2 linked regions of the Sus scrofa genome follow. The protein of the gene in region 2 purifies or fractionates together with the protein of the main gene of each other region. This does not show direct contact. Links are inferred from orthologs where the notes say so. Each region holds a gene or a part of one and is shown on either strand. Other genes may lie near its edges.

Region 1 (3,902 bases), on a different chromosome or scaffold from region 2:
CCTGGGCTTTCACACATGACCATGCAAGAGCTGACACCTGCAGTCTTCCTAACTCATGTTGACAACTTGACTCTCTGGAGCAGCTCAAACTCTACAGACCGAAGGTAGAGTTCCTTCTAAACCCCTGGCCCACTTCCTGGGTCCTCCTCCTTCCGGGTCCTCATGCCCACCACTCTCGTTTAACCCCTGCTCACCCCCTTTGAGGTCTGCATCAGAATTTGCCTTTTTCCTTCCTTTCTTCTCACCCCAATCCAAATCCCAGCGTACATGTGCATATTGAGCCTTCCCAGTAAATCCTAAAGGATTTCCTATGAGTGAGAACTCCCCCACCCCCTACTCTGTCAGCTGGGAGCAAATAGCTCCAATGATCATTCATCATCCACCTTTGCAAACAACTCTCCATCCCAGGCAAGCAAAGAGCCCTTTCCAGAGAGAGAGCACTGCTCCTAGAGGCTTCTGGGAATTCCAGACGCTCCTATGGCACACCAAGGGAGTTTTCCACCAGCAAAATTTACCTAGAGAAAGCTGCCTGCCTGTGTGAGAAGCCTAACAAGCAGTTTCTTGTTGGTTGGCCTGGGGCTCAGTGGCTCTCTCTCTCTCTCAGCCATAGTGAGGCACTGCTTCAATTTACTTCCCTGCCAGCATCCCTCCTGGAAGGATGCCAAGCCTGTAGATAGGGAGGCGGGACTGTTAATTCAGTGGAAATCCACGCATGTAATTGGGGAGGACAAAACAGGAGCCAGTGCATGAGAAGTTGGGGTCTTTGGGCAGGCAGGGAGGAAAAGGGGGCGAGGGGGGGACCCTTCTCTCGGCTTCAGGGGAGCCTGGCTGCTTTCTGGCTCCACAGGGCCCTCGAGATGGCAAGGGACATTCCCAGGTCACAGGACAAGCTCTGCCACACAAGCCTCTTTTCCTCTGGGTCTGACTGGTTTCTCCCCTACCCCCAGGCCTCCTGGCTTGGATCTCCAAAAGCAGCCCCCCTTTGAGACCACTGTCTTATGAGTCAGGCACGTGGAGCTGAATCTCTCAGCTCTTTCACCAGCCCCATGAGCTGCACCGCGTTACTGAATCTCTTGGAGAGCCACTGGCAAAATGGGGGGCATAATGTCCCCTCAAAGGGCAATTGATTGTGAGGATAAAATGACCAGTGGGTGTGAAAGGCTCTCAAGCAGTGCCTGATCGGTAAACACAGTCAGGGAGGAAGAGCTGTCATTCTCACACACTTGGAGTGCAGCTTGTGGCTGCTTTGCCAAGTGCCTTATACACACGCTAGCGGAAGCTCCCATCCTGTGGATGTGGGCTGGAGGCGCCACGGCCCCCCTGCCCTCCCAGGACTCTGCCCAGCTCTCCACTCTCCATCCCCTGCCGGGTGGGGGCGGGGCAGGGCGGGGCGGTCTCCAGGGCAAAGGAAAGGAAGCTGCTTTAGAGCCACGCCTCCCTTGGGCGCTGGGAGGATTGCCCTATGGGATTCACCAGGAATGGCAGCAGGGAGCTGGTGGGAACTTAATCTGGGAGAACACGCCTGTGAGTTTAAGACTGGTGGTGGCCCCTGGTCCTGGAACTAAGCAGCTTCCAGATCTCAGCAGGAAAAAGGGATGAAAACATATAAAGGCAATAGGGAATTTTTTTCAAAGCAGAACTCTCAACCTGATTGGGGCATGGAGACACCTGTCCCTTTGCCTCGGGCTGCAGACCTTCCCGCCTTCTCCTAGTGACCTGGGTGCCCAACCACAAAGCTGTCCTGCTCTTTCCTCAGGGCCCTTCCCGCTGGGCAGTTCCCTTTGACCACACTGGCCTCAGCCCTTCCCGGCACTTCTCCTGAGTTAGGGGTTGCATCCTTGGGGCAGAGACAACCACATCACTGAGCCTAAAGTGGACAGAGGGGACGAGGTGGGCTTGGAGAGAAACCGAGTGGGGTTCCTCCCTTTCAGACATCAAACCCCAAATCTCTACCCAGATTTTATCCCTTAGCCAGGACCGGAGATGGACTCCAGCCAGGCTGTCCTAACCCCCTGAGAGGAGCCAGCCCCCAGGAGAGGGTGAGGCAGGGCAGGAGTGCGGGCGGGTGCAAGATGTCCAATCCAGGGCTCATTGGGGTGGTGCGCCCCCAGCCCAGGGCTGGGCTGCTCTCCACCGCTGCCAGCTCTAGGGACCTGTGGCACCCCAGCCCCCACCTGTGATGGTGCCACGGCCACAGACACATCACCCCCAGCCCGGTCCCCAGACCTGGGATTGTCCCAGCTCTGCTGCAAACCCACCTTCCTGGTGCTCAGAGGCCCCTTCTAGGGGTGTCACCGAGATCCCCGCTTCCTCCTTTCGACGCGGGCTCCCGCTCCGCAGCCTCCTCTGGCCCCGGCTTCAGGGCTGAGCCGTATTCTGCCTCCCTTTCTCTCTTGCTCTTGTTCCTGTGAATTCTCAGCACTATTCTTTTTTTTAAGGGACTTTTTTTTTTTTTTTTTTTGCGTTGCGTCAGGGCGGTTGCCTGGCGACGGCGGAGCTATTCCACCGCTAGCCCTTTGAGTCGCTATCCCCTCCTGCCTCTCATTCAAGTCTCCCCGCCCGCAGCTCCGGGGACCAGGGACGCGCCGGGGCCGCGAGACACGCCCCGGGTCCTAAAGCCCTTCTAGCTGTTTGTTCCTGGCCAGGACCTGCGCGCCAGCCGCCGCCCCGCCTCAAGTAGAAGCAAACCACACGCGATGGCCAAACCCTAGATGAAACCAAACCCAAATAGACTTAAAAAAAAAAAAAAAAAAAAAACCAAGAACCAAGAAACCAAGGCAGTTTTCACCCAAGAGTGGCAACGTGGCTTTGCCACCGTCAGCAGTTTGCCTGCGGGGAGCGGGCAGGAGAACCCCCTTCCAGCCGCGTCGGCAGGCCCAGCGCCTTCATTCCACCCACCAGCAGCTTAAGTTCCTACTACCAGCAGCAAAGCTCCTACTGAGGGCCCCACCATCACAGCGACTTCGCAGGGCAGATGTGGGTGTCCCCAGTTTACAGATGAGGAAACTGAGGCTCAGAGAGACTAAGTAGAAATAGATGCTCTGGGAGTTCCCGTCATGGCTCAGCGGAAACGAATCCGACTAGGAACCATGAGGTTTAGGGTTCGATCCCCGGCCTCGCTCGGTGGGTTAAGAATCCAGCGTTGCTGTGAGCTGTGGGGGTAGGTCGCAGGCGAGGCTCAGGTCCCGCTTTGCTGTGGCTGTGGCATAGGCCGGTTCCTAGCCTGGGAGCCTCCATATGCAGTGGGTGCAGCCCTAAACAGCAAAAAAAAAAAAAAAAAAAAAAAAAAAAGAAGAAAGAAAAGAAATAGATGTTCTGGAGTTCCAGTTGTGGCACAGGGGAAACGAATCCTACTAGTATCCATGAGGATGGGGGTTCGATCCCTGGCCCCTCTCAGTGGGTTAATGATCCAGAATTTTTGTGAGCTGTGGTGTAGGTCACAGTCTCGGCTTGGATCCCATATTGCTGTGGCTGTGGTGTAGGCTGGCAGCTTCACTCCTAGCCTGGGAACTTCCACACGGCCCAGGTCATGGCCCTAATAAAAAGAAAGAAAGAAATGTTTTTCCAGATCTGTCTCCCAGACCAGCTGGGAGGTAGGGGGTTGGGGGGGTTGCCCGGCCCCAGAGCATGTGCTCGCCCCACTAACCACAGCTTGCCTGGTGGCACAGAATACTGTGTGCTGTGTCAACCCATAGAGATAGTTGTCCCTGTTCCACCAGAGCCTGGAGCTCCAGGCACCTAAGATACATTCCAGACAGTGGCCAGTGCTGCCCCATCCTGGACTTTAGGATGGGTCCTGACTGTGGACAGGAGACTCCAGTTGGGGGGAGAGGGGAGGGCTGGGGAGTGCCTTTTCCTGGGACCTCCCACCTTAGGCCTGATGACTGGAAGTTGGCCTTACA
Region 2 (3,802 bases):
CAGCGAGAACTTCTCCAAGCAAATAGAGAGTGAGCTTGAGGCCCTCAAGGTAGTGCCTTGCTCGGCCTTTTTCTTCCTGAGAGAGTGTCCACCATGTGGGACTCGCCCTAAGCGCCTCGCACCCTCCCTCGGGGCGGCTCCGGAAGGGGCAGGCTGGGGATGGGCCATGAACTTGGTGTGAAAGCTCATACCAGCTTTTCACTTTTAGACACTAGGTTTGAAGTTCCCGTCATGGCTCAGCAGTAATGAACCCGACTAGTGTTCATGAGGACGCGGGTTCGATCCTGGCCTTGCTCAGTGGGTTAAGGATCCAGCGTTGCCGTGAGCTGTGGTGTAGGTCGCAGCCACAGCTCCAATTCAGCCCCTAGCCTGGGAACCTCCATGTACTGCAGGTGTGGCCCTAAAAAGACAAAACAGAAAAAAAGAAAACAGGTTCTTTGAGGTCTTTCCCCGGATGAGTGTCTCAGGCAGCCTGAGGCAAGTCCTGGTCAGCTGACACCGAATGCTTTCTCTGCAGCTGGGGCTTCTGCATTCAGTGGAGTCCATTTCTGGAAAAGCTCCTCACAGCCCATGTCCAGCCTGGTCGTCTGGGGCCGCAGGGGGTGGGGGGGTGGGCAGGGGGGGGGCTCCTTGTTCCCTGCAAGACGTCAGATACGGGGGCCGCTCTCTGGGCCTCGGGTCCTCATCCGTGCGGTGGAGACAGTGGGTCTTCTCCCCCCCCCCCCCCGAGCCCTGCACCTGGCCCATCCCCCAGCTCACACCCGAGGCCCCTGTTTGTGTTCTTCAGCTCTGCTTCCACCGCGGCAGCCTTTGCCGGACTGGCTGCCCTGTGACTGAGCCCCCTGTCGGGCTCTGCCCTCTGCAGTGCCCTTCTCCCCGCGGCTTGTTAAACCCCAGTCAGCCCAGCGTGTCCACGGGGCCCGGATGGCTCCCTGCCGCCCTCCAGTGACAGCAGCCTCCTTACCTGGTGGCCCTTCCTCCTCGCTGGCCTCACCCCATCTCCCTGACCAGTTCTCCCCCCTGACGCCCACCTAGTGCCTCTGCCCTTGCGGCCCCCTGACCCCCCTCCCCTCCCTGCGCTGAAGCCCTTCCTGGCGCCAGCTCACCTCCTGTGCCACCGCCTCAGCGGCGCCCCTAACTGCCCGTAACCCTTTCCGGAGGGCCTGCCTCTCAGCCCTGGGAAGGTCCCTCTTGGCCGAACGGGTCAACAGCCCAAGGGGACCCCGCGGACCGTTGGTACCAGAGCGTGAGACGGAGGCAGCTGCGGCCTTGGCATGGCGCCTGTCCTGCGTGGGGCGGGGGCACAAGGAGCCGTGCTGGCAAGAGCCCGCATGCAGCCAGGTGGTGGGTGACCCTCGGCCCTCGGGGCGGGCACGGAGGTGTGCACTTAACCCCGACCCCTGTCTGCAGATGAAGCAAGGAGGCCGGGGGCCAGGCGCCGCCTTGGAGCACCAGCAGGAGATTTCCAGGATAAAGTCTGAGCTCGAGAAGAAAGTCCTGTTTTACGAGGAGGAGTTGGTCAGGCGGGAGGCCTCCCATGTGCTGGAGCTGAAGACCGTGAAGAAGGAGGTGCACGACTCCGAGGGCCACCAGCTGGCCCTGCAGAAGGAGGTGCTGGTGCTGAAGGACAAGCTGGAGAAGTCCAAGCGGGAGCGGTAAGTCCGCACAGCGCGGGGCCCGGAGGGCGCCGGCCGGGCCGGGCTCCTGAGCCTGTGCCCTCTGCTTCCCAGGCACAGTGAGCTGGAGGAGGCCGTGGGCACAGTCAAGGACAAATACGAACGCGAGAGGGCCGTGCTGTCCGAGGAGAACAAGAAGTTAACTGCTGAGAACGAGAAGGTAACTCGAGGGATCTGAACCGCCGCTGAGCGGTTTTTTTCATTCTTGAGTCTTAGAAGTTTCGTGTTTTCAACACTCTAATTTTTAAATGAAACATGTTTGATCTTTTAAGTGGGGTGTTTCCATTGGGTTATGCTAACTATCTGAAACCACTCACTCTTGTTTTTTGTATGTGCGTGTGTGTCTTTTTGTCTTTAGGGCTGTACCCGTGGCACATGGAGGTTCCCAGGCCAGGGGTCCAATTGGAGCTGTAGCTGCCAGCCGACACCACAGCCACAGCAACGCCAGATCCAGGCTGTGTCTGTGACCTACACCACAGCTCACGGCAACGCCAGACCCTTGACCCGCTGATCGAGGCCAGGGATCGAACCTGCAGCCTCATGGTGCCTAGTGGGATTTGTTTCTGCCGCGCCGTGATGGGAACTCCTCGCTCTTGTATTGAAATGCGACTTAAGTTAGATGTGATCAGAAAGTTCACGTTGGAAACTTAGTTTGGAAAAATCTCATAATAATTTTTTAAAAATGTTTCAGGTATTCAGAAAAAGCTTGTAGTTTTGATAATGGTAACATCTCGTGTATGAAGGATGCCAGATAATGAGTCACGTGCCGCAATTGTTTGATTTCAGCTTTGTGCCTTTGTGGATAAGCTCACAGCTCAAAATAGGCAGTTGGAGGACGAGCTGCAGGATCTGGCGGCCAAGAAGGAGTCGGTTGCCCACTGGGAAGCCCAGATCGCAGAGATCATTCAGTGGTGCGTGTGCGCCGCGGATGCGTGACGTCTGGGGCAGCAGCCCTGTCCAGGAGCGTCACGTTGGACTGAGGGCGTGGGTCGGGGCCAGGGCTGGCCTTCGCCCACACGGCGCCGGCTTGTCACAGGCGATGGGGTGACGGCGCTGTGCAGTCGGTCCCGGGGCGGGACGCCCAGGCGCCTCGCGCTCACGGGAGGGTGTTCCTCCCGCAGGGTCAGCGACGAGAAGGATGCCCGGGGCTACCTTCAGGCCCTCGCTTCTAAGATGACTGAGGAGCTGGAGGCGCTGAGGAGCTCCAGCCTGGGGTCGAGGACACTGGTAGGTCCGCTGCTGAAACCGAGTTTGTGCTGCGTGGCGCCATCCCTGGCTCCACTTTGATGTGGGCGAGGCAGGTGCTCCAGGGAGGCGAGGCTTCCTCGCCCCAGGGGGTCACCCCGTTCGAGGACCCCAGCACCTTGTGGGTCCAGAGCCACAGGTTTCTTTGATGCCATCATTTATTTAGCAAGGCCCCATTGAGTCCCAGGCTCTGGGGAGAAGCCTTAGAGCAGCGGGACTAAGGAGGTTTCGCTGTGTTAATGAAATGACCCGCCCGTCCGTTCAGCAATCTGTGATTCGGGGCGCCCAGGGTGGCGAGTGCCGGGGTGTCGCCGAGGACCCCCGGAGCCCCCTCTCCTTTGGTCAGTCTTGCAGCATCGCTAGGTGGGGCCCAGCTCTGCTGCTCCACGTCCTCCTCTGGTTGTCCCCCGAGCCCGAGACGCCTTCCTCCGTCAGTCGCTCTCTTCCCTGTTATGGAGGAGACATGAAAAATTCTCCACTGAATTCAGTGAAAGCCTAAGGAAAAGTTTACCAAGGTGATCTCTCCAGATTTCCTGTGTAATCCTCTTTTTTTTTTTTTCCTTGCTTTCTAGGGCCGCACCTGCAGCGCATGGAAGTTCCCAGGCTAGGGGTCAAATCAGAGCCGTAGCCACCGGCCTACGCCACAGCCACAGCAAGGTCAGATCCGAGCCACATCTGCGACCTGCACCACAGCTCAGGGCAACACTGGATCCTTCGCCCACTGAGCGAGGCCAGGGATCAAACCCTCATCCTCGTGGACCCTAGTCGAGTTCATAACCCACTGCGCCACGACAGGAGCTCCCTCCTGTGTGCTCTCGATAGTCGATGAACTACGCGAGGCAAGAAGAGGGCTGGTTTGCTTCACTGTTGCCTCGTCCTTC

The links.
Region 1: the proteins of CDC42BPB (region 2) and FAM167A purify together in Homo sapiens (co-immunoprecipitation; 3 studies listed by BioGRID and IntAct, counting the BioPlex papers as one, with this or other methods). This does not show direct contact. The link is inferred for Sus scrofa from reciprocal best matches to the Homo sapiens genes CDC42BPB and FAM167A.

The regions. Positions count from the first base shown.
Region 1 is NC_010456.5:14,664,903-14,668,804, forward strand, and holds the start of FAM167A (protein FAM167A), read right to left. Parts: upstream 2,593-3,902; 5' UTR 2,259-2,592; intron 1-2,258.
Region 2 is NW_018084979.1:1,675,562-1,679,363, reverse strand, and holds part of CDC42BPB (serine/threonine-protein kinase MRCK beta), read left to right. Parts: coding exon 1-49; intron 50-1,410; coding exon 1,411-1,655; intron 1,656-1,730; coding exon 1,731-1,836; intron 1,837-2,462; coding exon 2,463-2,587; intron 2,588-2,797; coding exon 2,798-2,903; intron 2,904-3,802. UniProt on the Homo sapiens protein: Serine/threonine-protein kinase which is an important downstream effector of CDC42 and plays a role in the regulation of cytoskeleton reorganization and cell migration. Regulates actin cytoskeletal reorganization via phosphorylation of PPP1R12C and MYL9/MLC2.